Macaca fascicularis: one gene and its partners. The protein of the gene in region 2 purifies or fractionates together with the protein of the main gene of each other region. This does not show direct contact. Links are inferred from orthologs where the notes say so. Each region holds a gene or a part of one and is shown on either strand. Other genes may lie near its edges. The genes, in order: MTMR10, MTMR2 and MTMR12.

Region 1 (3,750 bases), on a different chromosome or scaffold from region 2:
ATTAGCACACACTGTGGAGTGAAAAGCACTAACAAAATCAAGGGAAAAGATTTATGACTCCCATAGTAAAGTTTAAGAAACACTTTTTAAGAGTTAGCATCTATCATATGGAACCAAAGTTTGGTGTTTTTAATATTTTGTCCCTATACAATATTTAAAATTTTAAAGTTTCCACATTTGTTCAATTTTTACCTACAAAATTCTAATTATTTTACTAGATTTGGCTTTAAGTAATGAGTCAGATTTTACAATGTTCATAGTAGCCACACAAACTAGTATTTGATTTCAGGTCTAAAACAGGCTTTCCTAAGTATCTGGCTACTTCCCCCTAATAATCGCATTAAACAACCGACTTTTCCTAATTATTATACAACTGTTATACAATTCTAAACGCCATACCAATATTTTCTATGCTCTAAAACAGACTCCTTTCTGCCACCAATCCCTACTTCTATCTCTAAGGTCACCCATAGTAAATTTTGTTCGACAGCAGTGATTCTCTATTGTGAGATTTTTGTCCCCCAGAGGCCGGGGACAAAAAAAAAAAAAAATTGGCAATGACTAGAGGCATTTTGGTGTGGTAACTAGGTCGCAACTAGGTGGTGGGGAATAAGGGTACTACTACTGGCATCTAGTGGGTGGAGACCATCTTTGCTGCTATACAAAGGGCAGCCTGCCCCTCCAACTATGAATTATCTGGCCCCAAATGTCAATTAAGTGTCTCTGCTGGGAAAAGCCTACTTCTAAACTGAAACAAGCAAATTTGCAAATACAGCTGACAACTTCAAAAAACAATTGCCAAGCAAGTAATTCAAAGTTCACCGAGCTCTGTTATTTGTATAGAGACAGAAACATAATAAAGGCCTCTTTTTATACTATCAAAATGCATTAAAATGATTTGACTATTAACCATTAATGCCATAAGTGGCAGACAAACACGTAAGCAAAGAGTACTTTTACTACCCAAGCAATTAAACATATACGTATTTTCAAAAAGAAATTCAGGAGACAAAAAAGGAAATGAGGTAATGACATTCTTGACAGTTCCATTTTCTCCTCTCAGTCACTAGATTTTTAACTGGAGAAAGTTTAATGAGAGAAGGGAAGTTAACCACATGATACTAGTCGGCAGAACAATCTTAGACCAAAATACATTGCTAAAGTATCTGCTAAAATTCTAACTAACGTTTACCTGGCAAAAGGACTGGCTCCAGTTTTTTAATCTTCGGTTCCGAACTGATCTTATCGTCAGTCTGAAATACATGAGCAAAATAAATCAAAATCTCAATACCCCCACCCTCCGTAAAACGCTACAGCAAATGTTTTCTAAGTGATGACACAGGCGAAAGACACATAGCCCCCATTTAAATTCTTTCACATATTAACTGAGCTCTTTTAAAGATCTGCTCATTATCGACTTGGAAGCCTGATAATAAAAATTACTTAAACGGCCAGTGTCGCTTCCAGGTGTTCACATTTATGACAGACGGTTAACCACCTCGACCAGTGACCCCAAGCGCTGCAATCACGCTGGCGGTCATAGGAGGGACGGTCGACGGGTTGGAAACTAAAGAAAACCCCAGCTCCCAAGGCTCCCCTGGGTCTCAGCACTCGGTAAAACTACGGAGGACGGACTTCGGGCAGAGAATGGCTGCAGAAGAGTTTTACAAGTTTTCGCCGAGCCAGTGGGGCTCCCGAGAAGGCGCATTTCGCGGCGCCGGGAACCAGGCAGCCGCGCGGCTGAGGGCAGGGAGACGCGCGCAGCCTCCCGGGGTCCTCCAGTTCCCGGGGGTCGGCCTGGAGGCTCCACGGAAGCGCCGAGGAGAGAGGCGCTCGCGGGGAGGGGTTGTTTACCTGGGGCGGCGGCAGGAGGTAGGACCTGAAGGTGGGTCTGGGCGGCTTGAGGGAGAACATGGTGCCGCCGCCTCTTCGCTCTGTTCCCGTCGCGGGTCAGCTGCAGCGCCGACGCCTCCAGGCGTAAAGCTCTCAGTGCGGCCGCCCAGGCCCCTTCTGCGGCCAGCCGAGCCGGGCTGACTGACGGGCGGGGACACGGCGCAGCGCCCGCCCGAGCGGGGAGGGGCCGGGCACAGCCAGACCGACGCGGGCGCCGGGGCTCATCCCCGGAAGGGGCCCGGTGCCCCGCCCCGAGAGACGGCGCGCGCAGGGCCGCGGCCCGCCGCTCCCGGGCCGTAGCCCGTGCTAGTGCCGGAACGCAGGGGTGGCGCCGGGTGCCCGCTGGCGGGCCCTCAGCCCGGGCGCCGCTGGGAGCGGAGCCCGGCAGCCATCTCGAGAGCGCGGCCTCAGGAGGGTGCTCCTACGGCAGCCCGCAGGGGTCAGACGGCCCGTGGGGGCCTACGGCGGCCTGCGGGGGCCACGGCGGCAGCGGTAGGCGGCCTGGGACGGCGGCGCGGGGCATCTTCTGGCCGTACTGCAGTCCTGGGACAGTTCCCATGACTTACACATGGGCCGACTTCGCCCTCCGGCCCGGGCGAGCTCAGGGAGGAGCCCAGGGCAGGGGAAGGGGACTTGGGTCCAGGGGTTAGGCGGTCACCCCGTCTGCGCCCAGTATGCGAGGAACCGGCACTGGGAAAGTGGGCCGGTGCCGCCAAGCACAGGTCACTTCTGAGCTCTTACCGTAATTCAGACTGGAGCAGACTTTGGTGGGAGGGGGCTAGTGGTGTTACATTTTGGTGATTCTATGACTTGAGACTAGGTCCTTCTTATACCTTGAAGAATCAAACCCCAATCCAGCACTTTCTGATTCATGTCACAGGGAAGCTCCCATGTAGCCCTATCAGTCACAGTCATACTGATGAGTGTTACTCACAGGAACATTTAACAATTTACATAAAGATTCAGAAAGTTATTCTTTTTCTGAAAATGATTTATCCTGGATATAGAACCCTACTGATCTTTCAGGTTAACATGTTTGAATTCCACTCTGCCCAGGAACCATAACCATAACTATTTTTTAAAGAGTCAGGGTCTCACACCATCGCCTGGGCTGAAGTGCACTGGCATGATCAGGGCTCACTGCTGCCTTGACCTCCTGGGCTCAAGTGATCCTCCTGCCTCAGCCTCTCAAGTAGCTAGGACTATGGGCATGAGGCACCGTGCCTGGCCATAACTGTATTTTAAAATGTTAGTTCCATTGGATTCGAAGTGTTAAAATCACTGTCGTGCACACTTTTAAAAAAATTTTTATGGATATGCTGTTATTCCTCTATATTCAATGGATATTTTCTACAAATACTCTTCAAGCAATCATTGGCTTTTTCTTTACACTTAAATGACTCTGTGCTTTGGGTTTTTCTGTACAGGTTTTCTTAGGATCTGCAACTCTAATATGCGACCATACAACAGAAAAGTGGAAAAAGTCTATTTCCAGATTTATTATTGTCTTAACATTTCCCAGATATCTAGTTGTATTAGTCTGCTCAGACTGCCGTAACAAAATACCACAGGTTGATGGCTTAAAGAGCAGACATTAATTTCTCACAATTCTGGAGTATGGAAGTCCAAGATCAAGGTGTTGGCAAGGTAGGGATCTGCCTGACTTGTGGCAGGCAGACAGGCGAGGGCTCTCTGATTTGCAGATGGCTGCCATCTCACCGTGTGCTCACACTGTGCGCGGAGGGTATGTAACAAGCTCTCTGGGATCTCTTGGTGTCTCTTCTTGTAAGGACGCTAATCCTATCAGATTAGAGCCCCACTCTTATTACCTTATTCAGCCTTAATTACCTACTAAAA
Region 2 (3,750 bases):
AGTGCTAGGAATGAACTGGGTGGAAGAAAGTATATGGGTCTTCCATTCAAGGGTTCATCAGTGTTCACCATACTTAGGAAGTTTAAGTCAAAGTAGCTGACAATGAGTTAGCATTTTGGAAGACAGGTAGAGATGGTGAAGAAATAAGGAAATTCTTCTATGAGTCATTATAGATATTTAAGCTTGTTAAAAAATGTTTTTGACTACCTACTCCTTTTGCCTACAGAGTACAGTTAAGATCTCTTAAAAATTATGGAAATAAAAACAATCGGTCGCTGCCTGTCCTTGCCAAACTGAAAAAAGGAACAGAACAGCTAAGCCTTTTGTGCTTAAACACATACTCATCAGTAACTACTTTAGCTCCTACAACTAAGCTAGGTTGTTCTTCTGGGGAATGTACTTGCAAGTTAATATTGCACTGCAAGTATAAGGTTTTTTAAAAGACATCAGTTGTACGTTATAAATTAAATCCAGTTTAAATCAATATGATTCTATTTATCCTAGCAAGGAAGTTTTTTTCTTTTTAAGGATCGTCTGATTTTTTTTTTTACAGTAATAATCTTTGCATAATTTTACACCCCATACATGACATGATTGGGATTCAATCTCAATCAGAAAAATCCCTTTATGGTGTCCTTCTTACGTCCTCTGTAACAGAAAAATCCTAGCAGAAGCATTTCCTCTTTACCCAGTTCCTGTTCTCTTATCACAGTTCTATTCCTCCACATTCCCTTCCTGCTAGGCACGGGAATTTGAAAGGGCATGGAAACACTGGTAAAAGTTTGTCTTCTACTTGGGTAATCCAATACCACCGCATCCAGTAGTATATAATTCTTCTTGCATGTATATCAGTTTCCTCCCCAATCCCTCTTCCATACCTCTTTCTCACTTTTCTCTCATTATCCTGTCCTCTTGTTTTCCTTGACCTCCACATTCCTGTCTCAATCATCCTCCTGGCCTCAGGTCCTTATCTCTTTCCTGATACCCTCCTGCTTAGTGTTCCCTCATTCCTCTTACACCTAGGATTATCTCCTCCTTCCCTAAGGGTCTGGTCCTTCATCCCTCCCGCTTCACCAGACCCTCTCACTCTGGGAGCCGCCACCTCCCTTTCCCCAAGACCAGAGGTCGCGCGGCCGGACACAGCTAGCACTGCGCGTCGGTGGCGACATCTGAGCGGGCGCAGTGGGGTCTTCCCGCGGCCCAGCAGCCTACGGGCGCGGTGCACTCTGGGGGAACATGGCCGCTTCCGGTCTCCCTCCCGGGCCGGCGCTGGCCTGACTGCGGCCCCTGCCCGCAGCACTCCGCCCTCTGCTTCTCCCGCCCTGTGGCCGCGAAGACCGCTTCAGCCTTTCCCTCTGCTGCCCCTGCCGCGCCATGGAGAAGAGCTCGAGCTGCGAGAGTCTTGGCTCCCAGCCAGCGGCGGCTCGGCCGCCCAGCGTGGACTCCTTGTCCAGGTAACCAGGACGCCCAGGGCCCCGCCCAGCGTCCGAAGGGGATGGAGAGGGGCCGGGGACCCACTGGATTGTTGTCCCGATTCGCGGATTCTGGTTTCTGAAGGCTGCACCGAAATTCCTTCCCCGGGACTTGGGAACCACTTCTGCCTCCCTCTCTGGGGCGTGGAGGCTGAGGAAAAGGAGGTTAAAACTCGCTGCTTCTTTATCGATTCCTCCACCTTTCATATTCCGATCTCTTTTTCTCCCCAAAGGAGGTGGCCCCAGTTAATTACTTTCTCCTGTCTCTCATTCCCTCTCAAACCTTTTTTAAGACAGTTCCCCCCGCCCCCATTCTTTTCCCCACATTTCCTGTCTTTCTCTATCACTTTTTCCAAAACCATCCTTCAGTCAATCTTTCTTCCTCCACCCTTTCTTATGTCTTTGGGTTTTGGATTCTTGCCCAAGCCTTTTCTCTCTTTTCATGGCTTCACTTTCTTAATTTCTTTCATGCTTTTCTCTACACTCTGATTTTCTTCTCGCCTCTCCTTTTGCTTAAATATGTAAATAAAAATGTCTCCTGTGCTTCTCTTTTCTAAATCTTCCAGCTGAAAGTCAGTATCAAGGAATCTGAGTGATTTTTATCCCCAGTGATAGGTGTAAGAAAACAAAATGAGTGGTAGTTTTCTTCCTTCTTGGGCTACTGGTTCTCCAGGTTGTCATTTATCTTGTAACAGATGGGAATTTTATCCTGGAATTTTGAGGAGGACTTTATGCAGCTTTGCGGAGAGCTTTTATGAATATTAACTAGACGCGTTTTGGATGCGGTCTTTTTCTTTGATTTTTAAAATAATGATTTAAAATTTTATTAAAAAATAAGACCTGTATTTGCTTTTTATGCAGCCATGATGAAATCTGGTTCTTTTCCACTGAATAATAGTCTAATTGTTATTAGAGAGTTATTCGATAACTGCTGTGTGAAGACACAATTTTCATTTTCTCCTCGAATCAAGTGAAGTGGCTCTATTATAATTCATTTTGGATTCTGCTAAATATGGGTAGTTATTGCCTTTTTTCCTATTGGTGTTCAGTACCTCATTGGGGAACCACTGTCTGATCCCATCATTCTAAATCTCTATATGCATTCATAGCTCCCTGCCCAGTCGTTTTTCAGAGTCCTTAATAAGTACACTATAATTGTTGGCTTAAAGTGCCTTTTCTACGAGGCTATAAGCTATTGTACTTGAGGGCAATCTTAATCATCTTCGTATCTCCAGCACTTAACATAGTCTCAGCCTGTGATAGGTGCTCACTACGTTCATTTTTTTGAATTTGTAGCCTGAATTATCCACGAGAGGAGTTTTCTTTGCAGTTTGATTATATATATTGCACGTTTAAATCAAGTATTTTTTGAATTTTGTATTGCTTTGAAATGTAGAAAGCTGAGGATTAACATGTTTAGTTGTAAAATTCATTCAGAAAACAGGTTGGAAAATTCTAATTTTATGGGAAAGTTACAAATGACAACTATGCCTCAGAATAGAATAAGAGGCAACCAGTACTCTCATCCGAGGCAGAGGAGTCAGAACCACATGAAGCAGCATAGTATGTTAGAAAGAAGGAAGTACTGGAAGTTAGGAAGCTCCCATGCTGAAGTCTCTGGCTGAGCTAGCTCTTTGGTCTTTATCGTTTAACCTTTTTAGTCTACGGTTTTCTCATCTTTTAAAATAAGAAGCTTAATCTAGAAAATCTGTAAGGTCCCTTGGAACTCTAAAATTGTCATTTTTTAAATGTTAATGACAATACTAAGATAAATGCATTGGTATTAATTTTAAAGATAATTCCTTTGCAAATAACCTGTTTTGGATATTCGCAATTACGCTAAATAAGTGTCTTTTATTATCACAAACTAATATTTCTAACGGTGCCACTTTAACATATTTATTTCCTAAAAAAGAAAGCCCAGCAAATTTAAAGTTTATGAACTTCTTTATAAAAAAGTATTTACTGACATGAATTTTAGAAAATTAAGTACTCCTCGAGAGAATTGTGATTATAGATTAGTCTCATCCTCTCTGGACAAAAATATAAGTATGATTCCTGTTTTCCATGAGAGAATGCCAGCTTTCATTACTCCCCTCTGGAAGACAGAAAAGTAGTATTTACTTAATGTCTACCGTATGGAAGTTTCCCTGCTAAATTCTACGTATCTTTTATTTCATTAATCATCATACCTGTTTGTGGCACTCTCTTTAATCAACAGTATGTAACAGATACATTATAGACACTAGTTAGAAAGCTTAATTTTAAACAATCTAGG
Region 3 (3,650 bases), on a different chromosome or scaffold from region 2:
GCTGCATGGTGGTTTACACTTGCTTTCGCACATTCTGAATGTTTGCATCATGTACAGCAAGTTAAGCCCACTGAGGAAAAGGAACTCACAGGCCACCAAGTTTCTATGGTAACTGTATAAAGTTGTCAACCACAAAGATATAAAAATAACAACCAAGTCATCCATGGATCTCTTTATATAAGAAGGATTCTAAAAAGATTTTAACTTTAACCAAGCTCAGTTAATATAAAACAAAATCCAAAACATTAAGAAATGTGAGCTTTGGTAAAGATACCAAAAAATTCCTTCATGGATGGTGAATAGGTCTGCCAAGTTTGAAGTGAAAGAATTTTGTTTTAAACTCTAACACTGAAATCCAAGGCAAAGGATTCCAAGGTTAGGGAGAAAGGAATAGGAAGGATTTCTACACTAACTCACTCCTTTTGTTTCCAAATACACAAAGCTATATATATAAAAATTGAATCTCAAGTGAAGGAAAATGGAAATCATCCTTTGTGCTTCCTATATATTACCTAAAAGAAGAACATTCATGTTTTGTGCTTCCATACATTCTGTAATCTCTATTGCTTTTTTCAGGCAACGTCTAAATAGGAAAGAGACAAGAAAAAGGGGCATTAGTTCATGAGCTTGGTAACAAAAACATTAAGTAGTTTAGAGATAGTCTGACTTGATCTTCAGTCTTCTCTCTTATTTTTTTTTTTCCATGCTAAAATCCTCCAGAAAAGAAACTAACTTCCATTTACATTATTTAAATACCAGGATATATTCCTGCCCATTAGAAACTGAAAATTTTCAGAAGGGAATCCTAAAATTGATATGAAAATGCTCCTAGGTAATTTCTAAACTAGACATTCTTATTAAAAACTCATGCTTGAGTCTGCTGCTGAGCAAGATTCATAAAAATCAAACATACCTGGAGAATGCGAGACATGTCCAGATTACTTTCCTTAAGGTGACCTGCTGAATGTATCAGAGTGGCTAAAAAGCTCCAATATGCTCAGAAATCCTTTTTGTCTCTCTCTACACATTATTCCCTTTGCAACTGTTGCCATTATTCCCAGCTTGGACTTGTATAACTGGGGGCCTTCATGTATGTTGTCTTCTGCTCGCAGAGGTGTCCTCTCCTACCCCCCAGCCACCCTCCCTTCCCACACCCCGACCCTTCATCTGGCTAGAGATGCTCACCCTTCTCTGCCCACCCCACACAAAGAAGGGTTATTTGCTTTTACAACATTTATCCCTGTCTCCCATTATATATTCAAATTATGAGATGTGTAGCAGGATGTCTGAAGCACAGTTCAGTGTCTGGAGGGCCAAGGCTCCTTTCCATAGTACTCACTTCAGAATGGAGGGAGAATGTGTGTGAGGCAGCAGGAAGCATTGCTCTCCCTCCTGAAATGTAGCCTAGCATTAGACCTACTGTCTCACCTTGATCATCATTTCTGTTTTGCACCTTTCTCTGCCATATCCTCTATTTAATGGCAACAGAGAAGAGCTATTCGATATAGAAAGCAGGAAAGGCAATATAACTGTTCTCTGGAACTCTGAACCTAACTCCCAAACCACGAATAACTGACATTAATCATGGTTTTTAAAAACACAGATAATATATGCATAAGACACAAGATTAAAAGAGGTATTCAGTGAAAAGTCAGTATCACTCCTGTTCTCACCCTCAATTTCCTCCCTGGAGGCCAGCACTGCTGCCTCAATAATAATTCTGGGTTGTCACACTCTTTCTGTGGTTTTTCAATGCCTTGTCTGTAGAGTACACCTCCTTGTAAGCAGGTGGCATGTTCATAAATTCCTATCAAATGTGCACAGAAATAAGTAGCAAATATAAAATCTAGCTGTAGAACATGTGATCTAAGAATATTTAACTTTGAAATACCAGTTAAATTATTTGTCAGTTTGATCTACTACCCTGAGTTAGACAATTATAAAATTCAAGAGTAAAACAATGGTTTGAAATACCTGATTATGTCAAGCCAGCTGCTACTTTCCAACAGAGAAAACCATTTTATATCTGTGTCCCAAAATTCAGTACTGTTATCTAAAAAAAGAAAAAGGAGTAAAGACGTCAGGTCATTGTTCACTGACATACTTGCCACAAAAATCCTGTGCTCCTCAACTGTGTCATTGAGATTAACAGTCCTGACTCAAACTGCAGAATCCAGGCACAGGACTCTATTATGAGTAAGGGTCATTTCAAAACTTCAGCTGAAACGGTTTCTGAGCTGTAGGGCCCTAGGAGGTTTTGGTGGTCAAAAAGAGATCTTTATTGCTGAAATAAGAAATTCCTACAATGCATACACAAAGCCATGGTTCATCCTGTAAGTCGACAGAGAGTAACATGCTTTAGGCAGAAATAGCTGACATCTAGGCTGCTAATTCTAGAAGTGGAAAACGCAACTGGATCCATCCTGATGCCACAGAAGCCTAAGGGTCAGACTGGACTTTCATTAGAATCTCAATGCACAAGTTTGTGCACCCAGCATACCATGACATGACTCCCCCTACATGCCTTATAAAACAGAGAACCTTAAATCTTACAGAAATCCAATATATTTAAAAGTTGCAAACTCAGGTTGGGTGCTGTGGCTCATGCCTATAATCCCAGCACTATAATCCCAGAAGCAGGAAGATCACTTGAGGCCAGGAGTTTGAGGCTGCAGTGAGCTATGATGGTGCCACTGCACCCCAGCCTTGGCAACAGAGTGAGACCCTGTTTCTAAAAAATGAAAAAAAAAAAAAAAAAGGCTGGGCACAGTTGCTCATGCCTATAATCCCTACACTTTGGGAGGCCGAGGCAGGTGGATCACCCGAGGTCAGAAGTTCGAGACCAGCCTGACCAATATGGACAAACCCCGTCTCTACTAAAATACAAAAAAAATTAGCTGGGGGTGCTGGCGCATGCCTGTAATCCCAGCTACTTGGGAGGCTGAGGCAGGAGAATTGCTTGAACCGGGGTGGCAGAGGTTGCGGTGAGCTGAGATCACACCATTGCATTCCAGATGGGGCAACAAGAGCGAAACTCTGTCTCAAAAAAAAAAAAAAAAGAAAAGGAAAAAAAAAGTTGCAAACTCAAATCAATAAAAGACAGATATCCCTGAAAGTCCTGAGTGATTGAAATAAAACTAGAATGAATGTCCTTGATTAAACAGTAAACATGTATTGCAATGTTTTAGTTTGAGTTAGAGTCATACATTGCTGTTTCCCTTGCAAGAGTGTAAGTTCCTGGTGTTATATTTCTCTTTATCACCAACACCTAGCATAGTTAGCATATACAAGGGGACTTCAAAAGTATGTGAAAACATGGAATTAAAAGATGAAAATAAAAAATATAAACTTTATTTCTCATCATAAGCTCCATCAAGTTTAAGACACTCTCATAAGAGATGATACCAGCCATTTAGTTCACCCCTAAAGAACTGAGGGTCCTGGGAATTTAACCACGTTATTGTAGTCTATTTTACATTATTAACTAAAAAAAAAAAAAAAATGGGTTCCCTTTAAGGATTTTTTTTTTTTTTTTTTTGAGATGGAGTTTTGCTCTTGTCACCCAGGCTGGAGTGCAATGACACAATCTCGGCTCACTGCAACCTCTGTCTCCTGGGTTCAAGCGATTCTTCTGTCTCAGCCTCCCGAGT

The links.
Region 1: the proteins of MTMR2 (region 2) and MTMR10 purify together in Homo sapiens (affinity purification with mass spectrometry; 5 studies listed by BioGRID and IntAct, with this or other methods). This does not show direct contact. The link is inferred for Macaca fascicularis from reciprocal best matches to the Homo sapiens genes MTMR2 and MTMR10.
Region 3: the proteins of MTMR2 (region 2) and MTMR12 purify together in Homo sapiens (affinity purification with mass spectrometry; 5 studies listed by BioGRID and IntAct, with this or other methods). This does not show direct contact. The link is inferred for Macaca fascicularis from reciprocal best matches to the Homo sapiens genes MTMR2 and MTMR12.

Annotation. Positions count from the first base shown.
Region 1 is NC_088381.1:7,206,422-7,210,171, reverse strand, and holds the start of MTMR10 (myotubularin-related protein 10), read right to left. Parts: upstream 2,303-3,750; 5' UTR 1,915-2,302; coding exon 1,855-1,914; intron 1,254-1,854; coding exon 1,193-1,253; intron 1-1,192.
Region 2 is NC_088388.1:94,931,923-94,935,672, reverse strand, and holds the start of MTMR2 (phosphatidylinositol-3,5-bisphosphate 3-phosphatase MTMR2), read left to right. Parts: upstream 1-1,218; 5' UTR 1,219-1,374; coding exon 1,375-1,454; intron 1,455-1,466; exon of another isoform or gene 1,467-1,637; intron 1,638-3,750. UniProt on the Homo sapiens protein: Lipid phosphatase that specifically dephosphorylates the D-3 position of phosphatidylinositol 3-phosphate and phosphatidylinositol 3,5-bisphosphate, generating phosphatidylinositol and phosphatidylinositol 5-phosphate.
Region 3 is NC_088380.1:32,858,345-32,861,994, forward strand, and holds part of MTMR12 (myotubularin-related protein 12), read right to left. Parts: intron 2,054-3,650; coding exon 1,975-2,053; intron 584-1,974; coding exon 513-583; intron 1-512. UniProt on the Homo sapiens protein: Acts as an adapter for the myotubularin-related phosphatases. Regulates phosphatase MTM1 protein stability and possibly its intracellular location. By stabilizing MTM1 protein levels, required for skeletal muscle maintenance but not for myogenesis.